2 linked regions of the Neodiprion lecontei genome follow. The protein of the gene in region 1 interacts with the protein of each later gene in a pairwise test. Links are inferred from orthologs where the notes say so. Each region holds a gene or a part of one and is shown on either strand. Other genes may lie near its edges.

The links.
Region 2: the proteins of guanine nucleotide-binding protein G(i) subunit alpha (region 1) and regulator of G-protein signaling loco interact in a two-hybrid assay, tested with the Drosophila melanogaster proteins (2 studies listed by BioGRID). The link is inferred for Neodiprion lecontei from reciprocal best matches to the Drosophila melanogaster genes Galphai and loco.

The regions. Positions count from the first base shown.
Region 1 is NC_060264.1:31,887,238-31,894,028, reverse strand, and holds guanine nucleotide-binding protein G(i) subunit alpha, read left to right. Parts: upstream 1-2,010; 5' UTR 2,011-2,506; coding exon 2,507-2,627; intron 2,628-3,699; coding exon 3,700-3,884; intron 3,885-4,096; coding exon 4,097-4,383; intron 4,384-4,525; coding exon 4,526-5,006; 3' UTR 5,007-6,225; downstream 6,226-6,791. UniProt on the Drosophila melanogaster protein: Guanine nucleotide-binding proteins (G proteins) are involved as modulators or transducers in various transmembrane signaling systems.
Region 2 is NC_060265.1:25,279,677-25,284,843, reverse strand, and holds the start of regulator of G-protein signaling loco, read right to left. Parts: upstream 3,302-5,167; 5' UTR 2,960-3,301; coding exon 2,315-2,959; intron 1,963-2,314; coding exon 697-1,962; intron 1-696. Other genes in the region: beta-1,3-galactosyltransferase 5-like, read left to right, coding at 4,519-5,167. UniProt on the Drosophila melanogaster protein: Acts as a regulator of G protein signaling (RGS).

The sequences.
Region 1 (6,791 bases):
TATGTATGCCAGAGCTACGATTCAATGAATGAAGAAACATCGTTTTTTTACCATTTTTACACATTCGATTATTGCGGCGAAAATGATGACCATTGAATTAAATAATCAATTCGGAACAATATGTATTTATCACTATCGTGGCTAATCAATCGCAATCTAGATGAAATTTTTTTTGAAATAGCTGTGTTCAACATTATCAACGATTTAAAACAGATTACAATGTCGTTAAAATGAAATTTAAATTCGTTACGCAGACTAAAATAAATTACGCAATCGATTCGCGATATCCTTATTTAGTGTATAGAGACTGTATATCTCCGGAACAAATTCATACTGTTCATTTCCATTCAATTCAAGGTTACTCGCTCAAGAATTTCCATCATTGTCAATCTCTGTCGACCTAGTTTTCTACCCAGCTTTCCATACTGGATATTTTACTAAACTGCTCGAAGTAAAATAATTGACACATTCGAACGGCAGAGACTTGAGTTTTCCTTTCGATTGTTTCATTTTGATAAAAAAAAAAACTCAACCGATGCAGCAGTTCTAATTTCAGGTTTACTATAAATGTATTGCATAATAGAATCGGACGCTTCTTTCAATGTCATGTAACATAAGGAGACGCAAGGCTACAGAGCGATTGGAACTGGGACTAAAAAAAAAGTGTCTTGAGAAAAATCCGGTCCAACGAACGGAATAACTATGCATAAATGAATGACAACGTGCTCTGTTGTAACCCAAGATATACCTACAGACGCTTGCCAATTTGGTAAATTGCTATTTTGACGACAGAACAACGAGCATCCTTACACGGGACGCTGATTTTAATCCTGTCAATATAACGAGTGCAAAATTATTGTAATAGGTTGCCGTCATTAAAGTTCTGTGCTGCGTTTTAAATATTGATACAATCACGAGAATTTGTACGTATTAACCGCCACAAAAAGCAGGTTTATGAATATGGAATACAACATTCTACGGACTATTTTAATGTTGAAACTTAAAATAACTTCAGTATGAATGCGAGTTTTTTTTTTAATATTTGTAATTGAATACAAGACATAACTCATCATTTTATGATTAATGACACCGCTATTTGAATTTTATGCACTTTTATACGGTGTCAGTTTGCACCAGGAATGTAAGTTTTTCAGCCCGCTAGATAGATTGCTCGTGGGACTGATGGGTGAACTGTAATACTGACATTTCGTGAAAAATATAAAATGCAATTTTCTAAATGTATTTAAAAGTAAATCAAATCGTTTCAATTCATTGACATTTTTTCATCTTTGAATAAAGAAATTTTATTCTTTGTCTCGAGTAATTTCCTCATTAAACAGAGGTATCTTTTCAACGTTTAATTAACGCGATGATGAAAGAACGTGGCATTCCAATTGGCTACCCACCGTGTAGCTTCACTTTCATGAAGCGACTACGCGCATGACTGTACTTTTTTAAATAGATAAACAAGAACTCGAAATTAACGGTAATACACAATTGTAATGCAACTGGCCACCGTTCTTCAACGAATGGTAAACTTTTGAAAACAATTTCGGAGCGAAACTAATTGGTAGCACTAAAAACTCTCTAGTACAGAGGCAGAGCTAGTCACGAACTCGGTTGTGCAAAAGAGATAAAGGATTGTTGACAAGACTGGGAATAAATTTCGGAACGCAACCTTAGGCAAGAAAAAAGATCTTAAAACAAATAGACGTGGAGGAAGCCTGGTATACCCTTTCGTGTAAGTGGAAAACGGCATGGAGAGGGTAGTGGTAAGACTAGTTCCCTTCTTTGTCTAACGCAGTTATAGAGAGATAGTAGAGAGAGAGAGTATCTGGTCTTAGTACGTCCCTCTCTCTCTACGGCTCGACACTCTCTCGGCATGATAAAACGGGTGCTGATTATATAAATGTCCGCCACGCGTTAAAATAGCGCTAGAATCGTTGAGTACAAAATGTCGAGTTGGTAACCCGTCTAGATCTTTCTTACACATCCAATGCTTGTCGAGTCTAAAATGGAGCGCGTCGGCGCATAGTTGCGTGATAAGTCATTGGTGTGGGCGCGTCAAATGTTTTAAACATAAAGTCGAGCAGCAGACCCGTGTAGTATTCGTGTTAAATAATGAACAATAATTTGTGGAATAAAAGAGGCGAGGGGGTGGACGGTGAGCTGTAATAGATGTTTATTGGGGAATCGGTAAACCCGGACTGCGACCAAGCCGTCGTATGTGCGGATATACGTGTGTAATAGGAGTTCGGTCGGTACTTGGGGCCTCCGTCTTCTGTCGTTGGCTGCACTCGGTGCACGGGGCGGGCGGTTCCCACACGCAATACAAGGCGAAGCAACAAGTGTCACCCGGAGTTTGATTCGACCGATATACGATTTGCGGCGCCGATCTTATCCTGGCCGATTTCACGCAGACCTTACTTCTGCCAGGCGTTCCAGTCACTCGAAACGAGGACTATTTGAACGATTTATTGAACGTGATATAGCAAAGAATCGAAAAATGGGATGCGCCGTTAGCACTACCGGCGACAAGGAGGCTGCCGAGAGGTCTAAGAAAATTGACAAAGATCTCAGAATGGATGGCGAACGCGCTGCCAGCGAGGTCAAACTCCTGCTTCTTGGTAAATTATCATCTAAACACAAAATAACGATGTGTTGAACTAAATTTTATGCAAGTTTCTCTTCGTTCCGCGGCTCGTCGCTATCGCGTCCGAGACCCGTTCATCGTTTTTTCCGTCGTTCCGCGATTCGCGGACATGAAAAAACAAAAGAGAAACGAAACAAAAACGGACGAACTGTGCGTAAATACTGCTTGTTTTCGCACGCTTAATTTTTACACATCCCGTGCAAATTGCTAACGTGTTACCATTTACTTTTTGTTTCTTCTCGGTTTGTTTGATAGCGTTTTATCTCTCCTCGTTTACTGAGAACGGGACTAACGCGACCATGTTCTCTTAATTGAAATGGTAAAAACAGCCAATTAACGTATGATTCAATGGTATAATTAAGGCCGCGATGAATCCGGCCGTCAAAACGATGCGAAAAATTATTCTTTCATCTTTGTTTACCCCATTTCTTCTTATCGTAACTCGTCGTTCTTCTAAATTACCTTCTCTTACACTATATTGTCAAATTGAATTTACCAAAAATTATTATTATTATTAGAAATTGACCTAACTGAGGTTTTTTCACCACTGGTCATTACACAAATGGGTTTAGAACTTTTCTAATTTCTCTCATCTTATTTCTCATGGCAATGAGATGAGATAGCAAAAAACATCCTATCCTCCTTAATGCTACACAGGATATTGCAATGCATGTATCCACACAGCATGGTTGATTGTAGTAAAATAGCTGATTGATGTCTGCCTGTATACACATGGCTTCTCGTCACTAGATGATTCAGCTGAGGGAAGGGAACACTCATGGATTTCACAATTATTAAATTTCACTATTATCTTATCTCATGGAAAGCTGGTGGTGACATATTATTTCAATTATGAGCTGAGAAGAATTATGATTAATATGTTGAAATACCTGACGAATTATGTTTGCAACAAAAAAAAAAAAATTTTCAATGACCAAAACTTCAATTAATGTTCCTAAGCTACAAGAAACATGTGACAATTTTTTTTTCCCCCCGATCTATTTCAAGGTAATTTTTACAACAATTCATTTCATTTTTATTCCAAGGTGCTGGAGAGTCCGGAAAATCGACGATCGTTAAACAGATGAGAATCATTCATGAAACCGGGTACAGTAAAGAAGAATGCGAAGAGTATAAACCGGTTGTTTATAGCAATACTATACAGAGTCTGATGACAATTATCAGAGCCATGGGTCAGCTAAGAATTGATTTTGCAGACCCAAATAAGGTGGTGCGTAAATTTTTCGAAAGCAACATGTAAACGTGTTTTAATGACTGAAAGTTAATATTATTTTCCACTCCAATTTTCGTTAAATGAATTACTCTACTGTTAAAAATGATCAAAATTGTTCAAATTGCATCCCGGGATCTTTTATCTGATGAAAAATAAACTTTTGCTAATATTTATGGTATTCATGCATTAATAAATTCGTCACCTTCTAGGATATTGCTAGGCAATTTTTCACTCTAGCATCGGCAGCAGAGGAGGGTGACCTGACGGGAGAGCTAGTTTTATTAATGAAGAGATTATGGCAGGACGCAGGAGTACAACTTTGTTTCACACGTAGTAGAGAATATCAGCTCAATGATTCGGCGGCATATTACCTCAATGCTCTTGATCGCATTGCCCAACCCCATTACATACCGACACAACAGGATGTTCTCAGGACCAGAGTCAAAACGACAGGAATCGTTGAAACGGAGTTTTCGTTTAAAGGGATTGACTTCAAGTGAGTTCTTCAATCTTTCAAACATCATATTAATATCAATTTTTGTCTCTAGCACTGCCATGAATATGTCGCCACAGCCCAATATTGAATTATCTATGGTCAATCCAAGTTCTCGGGAATTACTTTCTTATTCTCTTTCCAGAATGTTTGATGTTGGTGGACAAAGATCAGAACGTAAAAAATGGATTCACTGCTTCGAGGGGGTAACAGCGATAATATTCTGCGTTGCACTGAGTGGTTACGATTTAGTCTTGGCCGAGGATGAGGAGATGAACAGGATGATAGAATCAATGAAGTTGTTCGATTCGATATGTAACAGTAAATGGTTTGTCGATACGTCGATAATTCTGTTTTTAAACAAGAAAGATCTGTTTGAGGATAAAATAACGAGGAGCCCTTTGACCATATGCTTTCCTGAATATAAAGGGCCGAATACATACGAAGATTGCGCATCATACATTCAAATGAAATTTGAAAACTTGAACAAAAGAAAAGACCGTAAAAAAATATACACGCACTTCACATGTGCGACTGACACCAATAACATTCAATTCGTATTTGATGCTGTGACTGATGTTATAATTAAGAACAACTTGAGTAACTGCGGCTTATTATTAAGCTGAACAATTTCAGAATCCGTCGATGATGCCGATTAAATCAAAACATTCTGAATCCGCGACACGTCTATAATTTTCACCTCTAATACTGGTTATTAATGGTTGATAAATCGAGGGCGTTCATCAGTTTGGAATGCTTTAAAAACTCGTGCGAATTGTCTGTCCGGATCAAAAATATAAATTTTTCACCAAATCTCATCAGGCATTTAGTTTTTAGACATTAGGTGTTTAATTAAAATCTTCATTCCTAGTACGCGATACTTAATCAAAATGAATCTAATTTAAATCATAATCCACGTTTGATAGAAAAAACTATTTTTTTTTTTTTTTTCGAAACGCACGTTTTTACCGCACAGAATCTCCGCGCAAAACTCGTCTTTATAGTTTATAGAAAATCATAGCATGGCACTTTTCTAATGTTTCTTTTTTTTATACTTTGTATATTAGAAGTAAATTAGCTTTATTGCGCATAATATACTCGATATATCGTTTTAATAACAAACTATAACACGGTCGTCTTTTGTCAGTTTCTGAACACCAATTTTTAATGTCTGGAATTATTAATCAAAAATTGATGAGATCGTAGGGTGCTTAAAAAGACTGTGTATTCAGTATTTCATTTTTTGTTTCTACTTTTAAATTGGAAGATTTCATTATTCTATTTCGGCCAAAAATAACACGACAGAGAGAAAGCGTCGTAAAACCCGAAACTTCTCGCGAAAATTTTAATAAAAATATTTAAACGTCATTGAAAAAATGTATAAAAGTTTTACTCAATTGAAAGAAAACTATGTTTCCTCAAATTGAATATAAAAACAAGCGATTTTAAACAACAATTTATCATTGTTTAACTGGAAATTGACAACGTGCCTTTTTTTCGCTTCATCGTACAAGTTTCTATGATTTTTTCGATGATGTTTGATGAAATTCATCGCCGTAAGCCAGATTGCAAGAAGATAAAACCAATATTAGACTAGATATATGAAACTTTTTTTAAACACCCTAGATGTATGTATGTCTTTTAAGTAGCTCCAGCAAATTTGGTTTTGTTCCGATCGTGTTGTAGTTTAAAAAATAGTCTGAAACAATCGTCTCTGTATATAATTTATTATAGTGGAAGAAGAAAGAAAAATGAAAGAAAATGTTGCAAAAAAAAAAAGAAAAAGAGAAAGAGAAAGAATCTACTGGAATCTCAAATCTAGTACCTAAAATCTCTAAAATGGACCAATTTGTGTGTTAGTTAATAATAATAACAATAATAATAATATCTGGTTTAATTCATGAATTCCAGTTTCGTCTATTATGAAAATAGATTTGTTTTCGAAGTATTTTTTTACGTGTACAGTTACGTGTATGTTTGTTTGTTCGTTTTTTTTTTGTTTCTCATGCAATAACAAAATATGTGTACTTCATAATTCACGGTAATAACAACAATAATCAATATTACTGTTGGACCTTTCTAGCTGTATATTCGCGTTGTCCGAGAAGTACGACATTCCATTCCATTCTATTTCATTTGCACGATCTGATTGTTGAACTACAGGCTACCAAGCAATCCCTTCATCTTTAATTTTCAAAACACTGGATACTGTTTTCATGAAATCAGATAAACCATATTTAAAATGTCATCTTGTCGATATTTTGCATGGGGTTTAGATTGACTATTTAACGTTGTTGGAAAGAGAAGTGAAATTGAACAACTTTTTTCTAGCAGCCCTATGCTTTTTTCATATTTTAATTACATAGCTTATGAACTAACGTCAAATTTTCGGAGCTTATAACGTTATTTGT
Region 2 (5,167 bases), on another chromosome or scaffold:
TACATTGATTCCAAAACCGGTTCTGGATTTTAACCGATCGTTAGGTCGGTTTGAAAGGCACGTGCAGCAATGACGCAAACCCCTATATTGCATCCGATCTCCGGATCAGTTTATATTTTTGTTTTGTTTTTTTTTTTCGTCAAACTTAAAAATTTGACACCGAAAAACGTCTATGCATTGATATAGATGCGGTGGCACTGAATTTTTTTTTGAATATGACAAATTCACTGCAGGCCTGAAGCATTTTGGATTGTCTCTATGTATCAAAATAAGTTTGAACGGTCGTAAATTTCATGTCCGTGTGAAAGAATTTACAGATTTTCGGAACGTGGGTTTAGGTTGCGTGCACTGAGGCTATGACAATTGCTGACAAGCGTGAGAGGTCAGGATGTGACCTTTGCATACTTTGAGTCCTCGTTCATAAATTCTTCCGTTAAAGTGTGTCTCCTCAACGAATAAAATACGGCGAGAGGGCAGTCTTGAGTATAGAGGAAAAAAAATTATTTCCCTACCCACACTGTTCACGAATTACCGGACCGGATTCATTTTATTCGCGTTTCACACACATCGGTGATTTATAATCAGGTGAGAGGAAAAAAAATTCGGCATTCATCATTCGCTATGTTGAAAACCGAATTTCATGCGCGGTAATGCGATGGATAAGATGTACTTTAATTTTGAAAAATAAATACTCACCAAGCATGCATTGGAATTACAATTCCCGACGTTTCGTATCTCTTGCAAGCTTCCCCAACGCGGTTTTTCGCTCTTGTTGGAATGGGAATGAAGAAGGGAAGTGCATTCCATTGTCGGTTTCAAATCCTCCAAACTGTGCACCAGAGACTTCGAAATACTGTAAACCTTCGGACTCAGCTTGGTGAGGTCTTCGTCGGTAAAATTTCCGAGCATTAGTTTTTCGTTGCTCAAACTGCAGTCCACGTTCTCCCGCCATTCGAGCGCGTCGTTTATTCCAATATTATTGTCCTCCCGAGTTACCTCGGATGAGGCAGCCATCGTACTAGGCAACCCCAAGCTGGGTATAGGCGGAGCAGATGGTCCCAAACAGGTGTTGCTCCCCCTCCTATCCCGGTCTTCATCCCCACACGGACCAGATGCCATCGACATACCGCATCCTTCTCCGACGTTGGGAATTTTACTAAAATTTATTCCACCGCGTTTTCCGTTGGCGTCATACGAGAAATCAGCATCCTTGAATTGGCTACCTTTAACATCATCGATCCATCTAACATCTGGTATTGCTCTGACTGTTAATTTAGACCCTGAGGACTCATTGGCTGGCTTTAGCCTCGGTCGGATGCCGTTTTTTTGATTTGAAACGATCGCGGAATCTCTGAGATGCAAATTTGGCAAATACTGTCTTCGATCGTGAAAATCAGCCGTCATATTTCGATCCGATTGATTTCCATAGTCATCCTTAAAACCTATCCCGGAGTCGCTGTTGCTAGAATGAGCCGTGGAGGTACTGACGTTACTTGGTTGAGGAGAAGCTGCTTGACGATGCCTCGCCTCGTCGTTGTAAGGATTAGATTCGCTGTCGGTGTCTGATATGTAGAGTGTTTGTATGGCACCAATTAGACTGTTGCAACTGTCGGGAAATTCTTGGCAGACATTTAACTCCGACGTTTTTGTGCATGTGAATCCAAATATGTTACAAGTATTGGAATGTACGGCATGGTCTATCAGCTTATAGTATATGGTGAACACATGGCACGAATTTGACACTATATTGTCATTGTCTTTTACCGACTTTGTTAGAATACCAAAATATTGTTTATCCAGTTCAGAAAACGAGTTGCAAAATACTATTCGAAAGGATGGATATTCCGCTATCACTTTATTATCGGAATTTGTCAATTTTATGTTAGCGACATGGATTGTTAGAAGTACCGTTGTGGGATTTCTCTTTTCTGCTTTCAGTCTTTTCACACACTTCTTTAGGACCTGTAAAATAACAATGTAATTAAGATTGTTGGGTCGATACAATCAGTATAATTTTGAATTTCAAGCAGTTTTTGCAATCTTTGTTACAGAAGTGACCACAGACTTGTAAAGTCTACCTCTAATGTTTCATCGTCAATAGCAATTACATTTAAAAGAACAAACAGTTACTACTAAGGTTTAAGATAATGGTGATTCCTTAAAGAAGATTCCGAACATCTTGTCGTGTTTGTTGTTCAAGTATTTACATGTTCAACTGCAATGCATGAGAAAAGTAACAAAGCTACTGCAAGGGTCAAGGTTTTCGTACAGAAGTAAGTTCCAATTCAAATTCTCCAATTAGCGGTAAGCCTACCTGCATCATTGAGGATGGAGGTAATTGATTGGGTATATCGATGGTGCCTAGATAACCAACAATGGTGCGATGTACAATCTTTTCGGTGTCTCGTTTTGAAGATAAAGGCGGAGGTGGCGGTGGTAGAGGGCTGGCCATATTCCATCGATGATGAAGGGATGCGTGGCTGCACTGTATTTTGTTTTGAGACGAGCGATTAAGTGCGTCAAACATGGCCCCACTGTGCAAGTCTCGAACAACTTTGGCTATCGCACATTGTACCGGAGCAGGGGTGACGGTGTTTGTTCTTAGCTTGTGCGAGTATTTTGGTTTGGATCGGACCGTCGCCAGTCCCTCCTCATCGGACGAGTCGGAGTAGTAATTTTCAGCAATTTGTAATCTCAAAAATCCCTTGGAGTTTCCTATCAATCGAACAACCTCGTCGTGAGGAATTTTGCTCACGCTGTGACCATTTACAGCCACAAGATAATCTCCAGATCTGAGACCAGCATTGTCCGCCGAACTTCCCTGGACGATGCAACTCAGTATGCAGGGCTGCTGACCAGATATCGTGAAGCCAAAACCCTTGCTGCCGCGAAGTAATTCGACAACTCTGACGCCGTAATTCACCCGCTTTTTCTTCCTCCTGTTATGGTGCATATTCATTCGTTTATTTTATCGCACCTACACCCGATGCCCTTGCAATATGTTACGACGAGCCGTGGAGGCGTCGAGGAGCGTTTATAACTGCCAAGAATTCTCGTAACATTGTATCAAGCTAAATTTCATATTGTTTAACACACCGCGTATACTTATGTTACAACACACACTTGTCACCGTCAAAGCTGCATTCAGATTCCCCACCCGGGAAGTAACGCGTATTTCCTATCTCCCTCGCAACGTCCAACAGTTCGCTTGACCTTTCTCTTTCTAATGTTAATTTCTATCCTCGGGTGAGGAATATGGAACCACGGCTGAACGCAGCTCCACAAACTTTATAGCATATAGGTATGCCAGTTCAGCGTTCCCATCGCTAGGACTGCAGTTTGTTACACGCTGGAAATCCGGCAGAAGAGAGACGAAGCAAATCAACAATCCAGGGATACGACGAAGACGCAAGAATGTCAGTAGATGAACCACGATAACAGAGATGAGCATCTCTGACGCTGGCTTTTGGACACACTTTAAGTTTATGCGGCGAACTAGGTGTTAGTGTGCTGCCCCCTATGCAAATGCCTTTATAAATTAGAGGCATGATTGGTATATAACGTAAGCACAGCATTCTGCTTTACCGCCGTACGAGGCATTCAGAAGACCGGTTTCGAAATAAGTGACGATGAGTGGTTCATCTTCTACCGCGTTTCCAATAACAACACATTTGAATCTGGATCTACGAACTGGATTAGGCATATAGTTTAGTTGTAGGGAGATTACCGCCGCGTTCGGTGCGTTTAGCTCAACATAAACACTCCAATTCCTGACTTATTCGGAATTTTATGTGGACACACAGTTGCGGAGTAATTATTACCGAGAATACGTCACGACAAGAAGAGTAAATGCACGGAAGTGTGACAGTTCTCATAATAATCTGATAATAATGATGCAGAATGTGAATCAGGGTTATAAGGGAATTCTAAAGGCTTCGATCAAATAGCTAACTGAACCTGACGAACATCGCAATTCTTGGAAAAGGGATATAGTGAAAAAGTTGATACGAGATTAGTGGCTAAGTTTGGTAGTGATTTCGCGCATACTGGATACAACCGTGCAACTGCGAGTACAAGCGAAGTGAGTCGGGACAACATTCTTCGATTCTTTAGGTAAGTCTTGCATCCATATTGCATCCAACTAATCATTTCTCGCTGCTGTAACCGCGAAATAATTTACCCCTTTCATCAGTTGTACGATTGAGGATTTGCTTTAGAAGATGCGCTGAGCGTTGATGAAGATATATTCTGAAGATATATTCCTCAGTGAACGCACTGACCTGGTACTCATCTTTTTTTGCTAGCATTATTCAAACGCGAATCAATGTTTCTCTCCTCCTGTTTCTCTCTCGCACCGCGGGAAAACATCAAACTTCGGTCGTGCATTGCGTGTTATGAAAATATGGGAGTGGCGGAAGAGGGAGGCAGAGCGACTATTTTAAAAACTTGCATTTGTTAGATGTAAAGAAAGGTTAATTTTTGTCGATTTGTGGTTCGCGAAACACTCCTTAGCACAAAATGTATATAAGACGTGGGGTGCCTTATGTAATCTTTTGGACACTGATCGTAGTGTTCTTTTACATAACGTTTAAACAATTTTCTGTGGTTAGAAAATCGAGTCCAGTTTACTTTCGAAAGATCAACAGTAGCCAAATCGATAGAGGAAATTTGTTGAATTTAAATCCCTTTCGATATGTAATAAACACTGACTGCGATACTAGCTTTCTTGTTTGGGTTGTCACTTCGTACGCTGCTGATGTGTCGGCCAGAAGTGCGTTACGCAGGGCTTACTCCGAGTCTGAATTGGAAGAATTGGGAGTTAGAAGAATATTTTTATTAGCATTGTTACACGATGACGTTCAAAATAAAACCCACGTCACCCAAAATGCTATTTTAGATGAAGCACGGCGATACAATGACATTATTCAAGGCAACTTTATTGAGGCATACAAAAATCTTACCTACAAACATGTAATGGGCCTGAAATGGGCTACGCAATATTGTAAAAATGCTTCGTACATCATGAAAATGGATCATGACATTGTAGTGGACCTTTACAAAATTATAGATGTAATAAAAGCAGCCAGTATACCGCATAATATTGTGATGGGTTACGTACTGAGAAATATGAGTCCCATACGCGAACCAATGAACAAATGGTACGTTA